Macaca mulatta: one gene and its partners. The protein of the gene in region 2 purifies or fractionates together with the protein of the main gene of each other region. This does not show direct contact. Links are inferred from orthologs where the notes say so. Each region holds a gene or a part of one and is shown on either strand. Other genes may lie near its edges. The genes, in order: PGRMC1, DUSP9 and MAPK11.

Region 1 (3,010 bases), about 34 Mb from region 2:
TCCTTTACCACTTCCTTTAACCACCTGTAGGTTTTTCTCTGTGATGGGAAAAACATTCTGTCTCCTGCTATCCTCTTCATCTATGAGACTGTTATTCCTTCCTTTCACTGTCAAACTTCTTACAAGTTTTTGCTCCTAACCACTGCTTCATTTCCTCTCTATACCTTCTTCCTCCCTACAGTATGGCTTCTATCCCCACAATTGGATTGAACTCTCTTTCTGAAAGATTTTCAGGGAAACCTTTTTTTTTCCTGCCAATCCTGACTTCACTTGTCCATTCCATGTTGTAGATGTCCTGTCATGTGAGCCTCCAGAATGGCTCCCTCCACAGAGTTTCCATTTTGGTCCATGGGAACTCCAATTTTCACTTAATTCATGCTTCCAGTTTTCTTTCAAAGTACTTCTCATTCTGTCCTTTTCCATTCCCCTGGACACCACCCTACTCCTGCCTCTGGTTCGTTTGCATCTGGATCTGCACGCTAGCCTCCGGATCGCCCTGTCCCCAGTCTCTCCTTACTGAAATCTGCCCTATGCACCACATTGATAATATTGTTGTTAAAACACTATTTTACTGTGTCATTCCTTCGCTTGTAAACCTTCAGTGCCCTTTGCCACCTATAAGTCCGGTCTCCTCAGGCTGGCTTTTCAGATCTTTCATAATATTTCCCCACACTACTTAGCCAATCTTATCTCCTACTAACTTCTAAATGTTAACTACTCCTGCCAACTTGGTCTCTTTACTGCTTCCCAGATACATTGTCTCACCTGTATGCATTTGTACATGACGTTTTCATTTTCTGGAACTCCCTCCCTAAATCCTTGTATACATTTTTTCCAAAATATATCCTCCTTCCATGAAGTATTCTGTAACCCTTCTGATGAACTCATAACTTGCCCTTGTTCTTCTAAACATTCCCTACACACAAACAATTCATTTTGACATTACCTTGCACACTCATTGCCAGACATTGCCACCTGTTTTATATGTCTATCTTCTGAATAAAACGAATTCCCTGTTAGCAAGGACAGTGGTATAAACCACCTTTGTATCCTTCAAGAAGCCCAACACATTGCTGAGTATATTGTAGGCCTCTAATAAATGCTTTAAATTGAAATGTGGTAATGATGTTTTAGAAAGAATGAGAATGACCATTTGTGTTTTCTTCTCCACCTCCAGTCAAGTATCATCACGTGGGCAAACTGCTGAAGGAGGGGGAGGAGCCCACTGTGTACTCAGATGAGGAAGAACCAAAAGATGAGAGTGCTCGGAAAAATGATTAAAGCATTCAGTGGAAGTATATCTATTTTTGTATTTTGCAAAATCATTTGTAACAGTCCACTCTGTCTTTAAAACGTAGTGATTACAATATTTAGAAAAATTTTGAGCACTTGCTGTAAGTTTTTTAATTAACATCACTAGTGACACTAATAAAATTAACTTCTGTCTTAGAATGCATGATGTGTTTGTGTGTCACAAATCCAGAAAGTGAACTGCAGTGCTGTAATACACATGTTAATACTGTTTTTCTTCTATCTGTAGTTAGTACAGGATGAATTTAAATGTGTTTTTCCTGAGAGACAAGGAAGACTTGGGTATTTCCCAAAAAATCTTAAATGTGCACCAAGAACAAAGGATCAACTTTTAGTCATGATGTTCTCTAAAGATAACAAATCCTTTTTTTTTTTTCTCAATTGACTTAACTGCATGATTTCTGTTTTATCTACCTCTAAAGCAAATCTGCAGTGTTCCAAAGACTTTGGTATTGATTAAAGCACTGTCCAGTAATGAAATCTCAAAACAGAGCTCAGCTGCAAAAAAGCATATTTTCTGTGTTTCTGGACTGCATTGTTGTCCTTGCCCTCACATAGACACTCAGACACCTTCACAAACACAGTAGTCTATAGTTAGGATTAAAATAGGATCTGAACATTCAAAAGAAAGCTTTGAAAAAAAACAGCTGGCTGGCCTAAAAACCTAAATATATGGTGAAGATTGTAGGACTGTCTTCCCAAGCCCCATGTTCATGGTGGGGCAATGGTTATTTGGTTATTTTCCTCAATTGGTTATTCTCATTTGAAATGAGGGAGGGACATACAGAATAGGAACAGGTGTTTGCTCTCCTAAGAGCCTTCATGCGCACGCCTGAACCACGAGGAAACAGTACAGTCACTAACCAAGTGGATTTTAAAGTAAAGTATATTCATAACATAACAGTTATTCTGTTGTTACAAAACTATACCCACTGCAAAAGTAGTCGTCAAGTGTCTAGGTCTTTGATATTGCTCTTTTGGTTAACACTAAGCTTAAGTAGACTATACAGTTGTATGAATTTGTAAAAGTATTATATGAACAGCTAGTGAGATTTCAAACTCTTGTAATTGTGGTTAAATAGTCGTTGTATTTTCTTGTGAACTGTGTTTAATGATTTTACCTCAAATCAGAAAACAAAATGATATGCTTTGGTCAGTTAATAAAAATGGTTTTACCCACTATAGTGTGGTGACTTATTTAAATTTTTTAAAAAACCTTATTCTAGGGAATCTGATTCAGACATTTTACTTTGGCTTAAAATTCAGTTTCACTTTTGAGTGCAGAGTTTTTGTATTCCAAAAGAAACAAGCGGCAAAATTTCACGGAGACCCCACACCAAAAACCAAATACCAGCTTGTCCTGTTAAGACATAGTGAATTGAATTGCTTTTTCTGTGACTTGTCAAAGTTTTGCCTAAATCAGAACTTTCTAAACTGTAAATGGCAGATCTCCACCTTGAAGTCTATAGCCAGGTTCTTAAGAAGTAGTATTACTGAAGACTTTGTCATTGCCAAGTACTAAGGAAGGGTTTTGGGTTTTTTTATGTTAATGAATTTTCTGATCAGGAAAGTATCAGAATCCTTACAGTAGCAAAGTTAATTCACCTCATATCAAAAGAAGAATAACAGATTTGCATATGCAGTCAGTTGTATAAACAAAGACAACCCATTAGTGTTTTGTCATTTTAATGTTAACATT
Region 2 (2,971 bases):
GCGCACACACACGCACACCCGCCACCCACAGGGGTGTGGGCAGAAATGAATGACTGTGTGTGTCTGCAGCTTGGCCCCTTCCCCAGCCCCCAAAGTAGCAGCGGCTGTGTGGGCCCCGCAGCAGCAAAAGTGAGGCCTTCTTCTTCCCCTCCCCCTCCCCAGCTCTCGCTCTGAGACCCCATCTCCTCCGGCAGCAGTTTGACCACCCTCACTCACAAAGAGCCCCAGTGATCCCGTCAAGACATCTGGGGGAAGAGGGAAAAAAAAAAGCCCACCAGATGTGTGGCCGGGAACCTGCCCAGTCGCTCCTAGGCCATGGATGCAGGCAGCCACTGCACCTCTGGGTCCCCATTCCCTGGGAGGCCCCAGCCCCGAGAGGCCCAAGCCCTTGGTGGAGAAACAGGGAGGTGACAACACCAGTGATGGCAAACTCCTCTCCCCCAAGCAACCATTTGGGGACAGGGGAGGGACTGGGAGCCAGTCCCTGTGGCAACAAGGTGAGACACACCCTTCCTGAAGGAGGAAGCGCAGGGAGGTGCAGGGCCCAGCCGAGCTGGCCGAGCACCCAGGGCCGGGGCCGGGGCCTGGACAACCACCTGGAGAGGGAACCCCCACCCCCATCCCGCAAAGCAAAAAGTAACAGTCGCAGAAGAGGCAGGCTTAGAGCAGCCCTGCCGTAGGCACGTTGATTAGGACGCCAGCCCGCGTGAGGTATTGCGCTCTCCCCCCAGCACCCTGCTCAGGCCGAGCCCTCCCGCCCTCCCCTCCCTTGCCGCACGAGTGGGCAGGGACACCCGTGGGTGGGGGTGGGGCAGGGGCCGGCCCGCCGGCCACTGGGCCCTAGGTAGGGGCCAGCTCGAAGGCGCCATCACTGGTGGGGGTGGTGAAGAAGGAGGGCGGGTCAGAGGCCATGGATGCCTGCCCCCCACTGCCCTGCTCCTGTGAGCGGCGCTCCTCCAGCCGCAGGCTGCGCTCAAAGTCCAGCAACTGCCCCATGAAGTTGAAGTTGGGGGAGATGTTAGACTTCTTTCTCTTGACCAGGTCATAGGCATCGTTGAGAGAGAGGTGGAGCTTCTGCATGAGGTAGGCCACAGTGACGGTGACAGAACGGCTGACCCCCGCCAGGCAGTGGACGAGCACCCCGCAGTTCTGGGACAAGGCCTCATCTAGATGGGGCAGGACAGGGCCCGGGAGACCCCGAGGGCAAGCGTGTGTGAGGCCGAGGCCTTCCGAAGACCCCGCCCTGCCCCCTGAGCCAGATGGCCACGGCCTGGAGTTTTCGCTGGTGGCCTCTGGGGGCCGCCCTAGCTCTGCCTGTCCCCTAGAAGTGCCACCCTGGCTTTTGGCTCTGGGAATGGCAGCTGGGCTTGGGAGGAGTGCTCACAAGGGGGAGGCCAGAGCAGGTCTTGGGGAGGGCGGGTGGGGCGGACTCACCGATGAACTCAATAGCCTCCGGGAAGAACTGCGACAGGTTCTGGCTCCAGTGGTCGGAGATGGGGATCTGCTTGTAGTGAAAGTCGCCATTCTTCTCGAAGAAGTTTGGGAGGTTGGGGGTGACATTGAGGATGTAGCGGATGCCCAGTTTGGCCAGGCTCTCCAAGTTGGCGGAATCCCGGGCACTGCCCAGATAGAGGTTGGGCAGGATCTGGACAGGGAAGGATGCCCGCAGCCCCACTGGCGGGGGTGTGGCACCCTCCGAATCCAGGCCACAGCTCATGGAGTCGCGGTCAGCCTCGGATTCCGCATCAGAGCAGTCGGAGCCCAGGCACAGACTGCCCAACCCCACTACAGGCACCGGACTGGGCACCGGGGCCATGCTGGAGCCGGCACGGCCACTAAGGCTGGTCTCACACAGGTGAGGGCACTCGGCCTGGAATCTGCTGAAGCCACCTGTGGGGGAGAGGGCATGGGGCCTGCTGACCTGGCCTCCTGGGCAGCCAAGTACCTCTGTCTGGGGCTGGGGAGCTGACCCTAGACAACTTGGAGGGTTTGCAAATGTTCCTAAAAGGAACACAAAACCCAGCAGCTTGGTGTGTCCTGGTGCCACGTGGAGCCCTAGCCACCCTCACTCAGCACTCTCGGCCACTGCTCTGGACAGCAAGTGCCCACTGCAGCTGCTGGGGCTGCAAGAAGCTGGGCTCACGCTGAACCACCGGAGAGGATCTTACACCCCTAGGGTCAAGCTGAGGCAGGTGTGAGGGCTCAACAGAGCTGAGATATACTGCCAGCCTTAGGGAGGACTGTGGCCATCAGTTAAAGAAAAGGAAGTTCTCTGCCTGGGCATGTCCTGACCCTCAGGGATGAAGTGGGACCCCAAGATGTGGGGAACTTGGGGGAGAATGTGACATTCCACCAGAATGGTTCTAAAGTCTCAAGAAGCCAGCATCTCTATTTACAGATACTATTTCCCCGGCCTGGAAACCTGACACTTTATATGCTGTTCAGGAGGCTAAGGTGGGAGGATCGCTTGAGCCCAGGAGGCTTCAGTGAGCCGTGATTGCACCAATGCTGTCTGACCCCTGCCTCCCTTGCTCATTTGCTGAGCAGGTGGGAGAGGTGGCGATACCCTTGCCGAGACCCTGGGGAGCCCACACTTTCTACTTCGCTCTTGAGCATCCTGAGAACTAGCTCAGGTCAGGCCAATTCTCCCCATTTTCCAGGCTCAGAGACTGGGCTGCCGAGGGTAAAGAACTTGCCCACGGTCACACTCAGGCTTCCCTCCTCTCAAAGCAGCCTGGCAGGTCATCAGAGGAGGGGGGCCTCAACTCGCTTTGGAAAAAAAGAAGTGGGGCTGGCCTAAGGTCAAATGAATCCCAAACGCCCTGGAAGGAGGGCCCCGCGGCACCTACCCTGAAGGTAGTAGGCCAGGTAGCCTTCCTCTCGCAGCTTCTGCAGCAGGGTGCCCAGCACCGACTCGGCCTCCCACTCCTCGGCCTCGGCCTCTGCCTCCCCGCGCCGGCGCCGGCCCCCA
Region 3 (4,311 bases), on a different chromosome or scaffold from region 2:
CACAGACTGTCCCTGGCCCCTAGAGACACTGCCTGACCCCAAATGGTCTGGCCCCTCCCCCACACGTAAGCTGCAGAGCATAGTGGGAACGGGACCAGCACACACATTCTCTGGGTTAAAGTGGCCTCTTTTTCCTTCACCAGGAAGGAAAGGAAAGCTATTTTCCCTAGCCCACCCAGCCCCCACCCAGGGATGGGCAGACCCTTGCTCCCTTGACACCCAACTCCCCCCCAGCCAGCTTCCCTGACCACTGAGGGGTAGGGAGGTGGTGTCTGGATCTTGGCCCAAAGCCAAGCCTGCCCAGTACATCCCCACAGGGCAGCTGGGGTCACCATCTGGGTGGCCGTCCCACCCTGTGCCCTCAGAGCCCACCCATCAGCCGTGTCCTCCCCTGGTCCCCCTGGGCTCAGACCCTCCAGGGAGCAGGGAGGGTGCCAGAAGATGGCCACTGGTCTGACTGGGGGCCTGAGGGATCTGGCCAGCTAGAGGTGAGTGATGCAGAGTGACCCAGACACTCCCCCCATGCCCAGCAGTGGGGATGGCGGGGGCAGCAGGGCCTGGAGTGGCCTTTGGATATGAACCGAGCGAGATAACCCCCTTTATTGTGCACCCCTGGTGCAGGCACTTGACACCCAGGCTTCCCTGGGCCCCTCGAGGCAAGAGGTCACCCCCTTTCCAGGGCAGAGCCATACCCCCAACTCAGCTCTGGGCAGGGTCCCGTCTCCGAGGTTACTGGATCAGCTCCATCCTGGGACAAGGAAAGAGGAATGACACGCAGACCAGAGCACCTCAGATCTCCGGCTGCAGGGCCACAACGGTGGGCAGAGGTAGAGAGCGGGCCAGGGTGCGGCGCACAAGTGTTCGAGTCCAAGTCCACACCCGCGTGTGCTGCCTGCCTTAGCGTCCTCAAGGCCAAACCACCCAGTCACCCCCAGCCTCAGGAGCCTGCTGCGGGTCACATATCCGAGGAGAAAGCCCGTGCTGGCGCTCATGTGGCTGCCCTTTCGCCCACTGGAGCCCCCAGTCTGAAACACCCCTCACAGCATCAGGAACTGAGGAGAGGGAAGGCAACAGCACGCCCGCCCCAGCGCCAGCTTCTTGCCAGGCATGGCTGCTGGCCCTTAGGCGCCCACAGATTCACATGCACCATATCACATGTGCCCTGACATATGAACACGAGGAGTGCACGCTCATCCACATGTGCCCACACACACCCACGGGTGAACACAAGGCTCCAGGCAGCTTTTCTCATTTGACACCTGGTGGTTGTCCGTGCCCAGCCTGGTGGCACACTGGCTCTGCCACTCCTCTTAGACCTGTGGGTCTCAGCACTGACCAGGACAGCCCCCTACTTCCAGGCTGAGCAGCTCTAACCACTGAGACCTCTCCCTTTGAGTCTCCCAGGGTCCCGGCCCCAGCGTGTCCTCCAGAGAGCCCTGGGACAGAAGAGACCCCAAGGTTGATGCTCCCCAATGGGTCAGCCTGGGACAGACAGGGGAACTCCGCAGGGGTGCCCTTTTGGCATCCAGGACCCCACAGTCAGGTCCCAATGGAGAGCGCAGTAGCCAGAAGGGAGCAGGAGGACCAAGGTAGGCCCAGGGACACTTGTGCCCAGACTCCTACACATGGCAAGCACATGTACACACATGTTTGTGCATGCATACATGTGTGTAGATTATCCTGAAGGCGAGGGGTCCTAGGCCAGGAGTCAGTGACCATAGGAATGTGGGAGGTGCCTCTTGAGGAAATCGGACCAGCTGTGGAAGGGTGCAGGCCCAAGCCCCTCCACGAGCTCTTAGGGGCTGCTGGGCGGCACCTCACTGCTCAATCTCCAGGCTGCCAGGCGGCTTCGGTGGCTCTGGGGGCTTGAAGCTGAGGACTTCCTGGTAGGTGAGCTCTAGGAGGTGAAGGGAAAGGGTGAGCCTGTGCCTCCCACAGTCCAGCCCCCCACCTGCTTGTCTGGCACCTGCCACCTAGCCCAGGCCCACCACCCTGTGACAGCAGCCTCAGCAGAGTCTGGGAGCCAGAACCTGCCCTGTGCCACTCCCCAACCCCACCCACCCCCAGCCTGTGCTGGACACCCGAACGCCCTTCCACACCTGACCAGTCTGGAGAGGAACCGGGGCATTTCCTGCCTCTGGGGAAATGGAGCCTGCAGGCCCCTGGACCCACCCACAGCCACTGCCATGCCCACCCTTCCACTCCTCCAGCGTGCGCTCCTTAGCCTCAACGCTCTCATCATACGGCTCGGCCTCTGGCTCATCCTCAGGGTCATGGTACTGGCTGAAGTAGGCGTGGGCCAATGCCTCGGCAGCACTGACCCTCTGGTCACTGTCCAGCACCAGCATCCTTCCAAGGAGGTCTATGGCTGCAGGGGAGCCAGTGGCAGGGAGGAGAGGGTCAGCTCTGTATCCAGGGCCAGATATGGAGCCCAGTCTAGCCCCAGGGCAGTCCTCACCCAGGGGGTTGGCTCCATGGAAGATGCTGCTCAGGTCCTTCTGGGGCATGGGGGGCAGGGACTGGATGTATGTCCGGGCCTGGAGGGCACACGAGAACACCTGGGGAGGCTGCTCACTCTCTGCCTCCCTGGCCCCAAACTGGGGCTTCTCTTGGCAAGCCCCCAGACTCAATTCACTCCAACAGGCTAGGACAAGGGCACAGGCAGACCAGTGACTCTCTCCACATAGGGTCCGGTGACTAGCTCCTCACTTGGCCCCTAACGCCTGCAGGAGCTGGGTCCAAGTACACTCCCTCCACCCAGCCCAACCCCACTGCCCTGGCCAGGCACTGCTTGCTGGGGTCATGGTTTTGCACTCACTGTCCCTGGTGTCAGGAACATCTTCCCCCTTCTCCTGTTTCCCCTGCAGGGATTGGCACCTGACGTAGTCTCTATCCCACCACATCCCATGTTCCCCATATTGTCCCCACATTTCCACACCACCCTCTCCCCGAGAGAGCCTGGGACTCGACCAGCAGAGGGAGGAGACTCGACCAGCAGAGAGGCAGACTCGACCAGCAGAGGCAGAGAGCCTGGGACTCGACCAGCAGAGGCAGGCACCAACTCACGTGTTCCGAGGAGATCTTTGCCAGAACCTCGGGGCTGGGTGTGCCCACCACTTCCATGATGCGCTTCAGCTGGTCAATGTCTGTATCACTCAGGAAACACCCACGGGCCAGCCAAGGACCTCTCTTGGGCCCCCAGACCCAGAACTTTGGGGCGCTGCCCAGAGCCCGCTCTCCTAGAGCTGAGGATGGCCAGCCCAAAGTAGCATGGCATGGGGGGCAGAAGAGGCAAGACCCGCCAGAAGGGGCCAGCACTGGTCCCTACCCTACAAGAGGGGCCCTGTTTGACCCTGCTCCCCAACCTGAGCCAAGGATACAGTCGCTTCCCGGGAAGAGGGCCTTGCCCTGGAGCAGCTCAGCCATGATGCAGCCCACGGACCAGATGTCCACTGTTTGAGGGCGAGGGGGCCTCCATCAGTGTGCTCACCCCAAGTCCCTCCTCCAGGAGACCCACAGTCACATCCAGGCCCTGAGATGGGCAGACCCCCTCCTCCGCCATACCCAACCCCCCTGGGCAGGGGGAGGCCTGTAGCTGCAGGGCCAGAGGAGGCCAGCACCCGTCATGCTCTAGCGGCCTCTGAAGGGCTGCCTTTGAATGTGGGTCCCACATTCTTGGGGACCTTGCCCGCCCCCCAAGACCTGGCATGCAGAACCAGTCCAGGGCCAGACGAGGCCCTCGGCCTTCGTCCCCCCAGGCCTTCCCCCTGCACCTGTCTGGTTGTAATGCATCCAGTTTAGCATTATCTCAGGTGCCCGGTACCAGCGCGTGGCCACGTAGCCGGTCATCTCCTCATCTGCCTGGCGCGCCAGCCCGAAGTCCAGGATCTGGGGCGACCACGAGGTGTTCTCAAGCTCCTCACGGGCTTCGCCACCGCCCCGCCCATCCCTGCCCGCGGGCCTCACCCTGAGCTCACAGTCCTCGTTCACAGCCACGTTGCTGGGCTTCAGGTCCTGCAGGTCACGCGGAGCGTGAGCACAGGAGGCCGGGACGGAGCCCTGCTGGACCCGACCCTCACCCTGCGGTCGCACCTACCCGGTGGATGATCCCGGCCGAGTGGATGTACTGCGGGAGGGGGATCGTGGTGAGCGCCAGGCCCGGCCCGCCCGCCCCCCGCGAGGGGACCCGCGAAACCCAGGGCGCCCTACCTTTAGCCCGCGCAGCAGTTGGTAAACCAGGAACTGAACGTGCTCGTCGCTCAGCGCCTGGCACTTGACGATGTTGTTCAGGTCGGCACCCATGAGGGTGGT

The links.
Region 1: the proteins of DUSP9 (region 2) and PGRMC1 purify together in Homo sapiens (affinity purification with mass spectrometry; 3 studies listed by BioGRID). This does not show direct contact. The link is inferred for Macaca mulatta from reciprocal best matches to the Homo sapiens genes DUSP9 and PGRMC1.
Region 3: the proteins of DUSP9 (region 2) and MAPK11 purify together in Homo sapiens (affinity purification with mass spectrometry; 4 studies listed by BioGRID and IntAct, with this or other methods). This does not show direct contact. The link is inferred for Macaca mulatta from reciprocal best matches to the Homo sapiens genes DUSP9 and MAPK11.

The regions. Positions count from the first base shown.
Region 1 is NC_133426.1:125,722,545-125,725,554, forward strand, and holds the end of PGRMC1 (membrane-associated progesterone receptor component 1), read left to right. Parts: intron 1-1,177; coding exon 1,178-1,281; 3' UTR 1,282-2,495; downstream 2,496-3,010. UniProt on the Homo sapiens protein: Component of a progesterone-binding protein complex. Binds progesterone. Has many reported cellular functions (heme homeostasis, interaction with CYPs). Required for the maintenance of uterine histoarchitecture and normal female reproductive lifespan.
Region 2 is NC_133426.1:159,885,883-159,888,853, reverse strand, and holds the end of DUSP9 (dual specificity protein phosphatase 9), read right to left. Parts: coding exon 2,850-2,971; intron 1,891-2,849; coding exon 1,435-1,890; intron 1,167-1,434; coding exon 841-1,166; 3' UTR 562-840; downstream 1-561. UniProt on the Homo sapiens protein: Inactivates MAP kinases. Has a specificity for the ERK family.
Region 3 is NC_133415.1:1,180,845-1,185,155, reverse strand, and holds the end of MAPK11 (mitogen-activated protein kinase 11), read right to left. Parts: coding exon 4,210-4,311; intron 4,127-4,209; coding exon 4,097-4,126; intron 4,015-4,096; coding exon 3,967-4,014; intron 3,889-3,966; coding exon 3,774-3,888; intron 3,453-3,773; coding exon 3,381-3,452; intron 3,147-3,380; coding exon 3,067-3,146; intron 2,538-3,066; coding exon 2,459-2,537; intron 2,369-2,458; coding exon 2,195-2,368; intron 1,898-2,194; coding exon 1,818-1,897; 3' UTR 583-1,817; downstream 1-582. UniProt on the Homo sapiens protein: Serine/threonine kinase which acts as an essential component of the MAP kinase signal transduction pathway.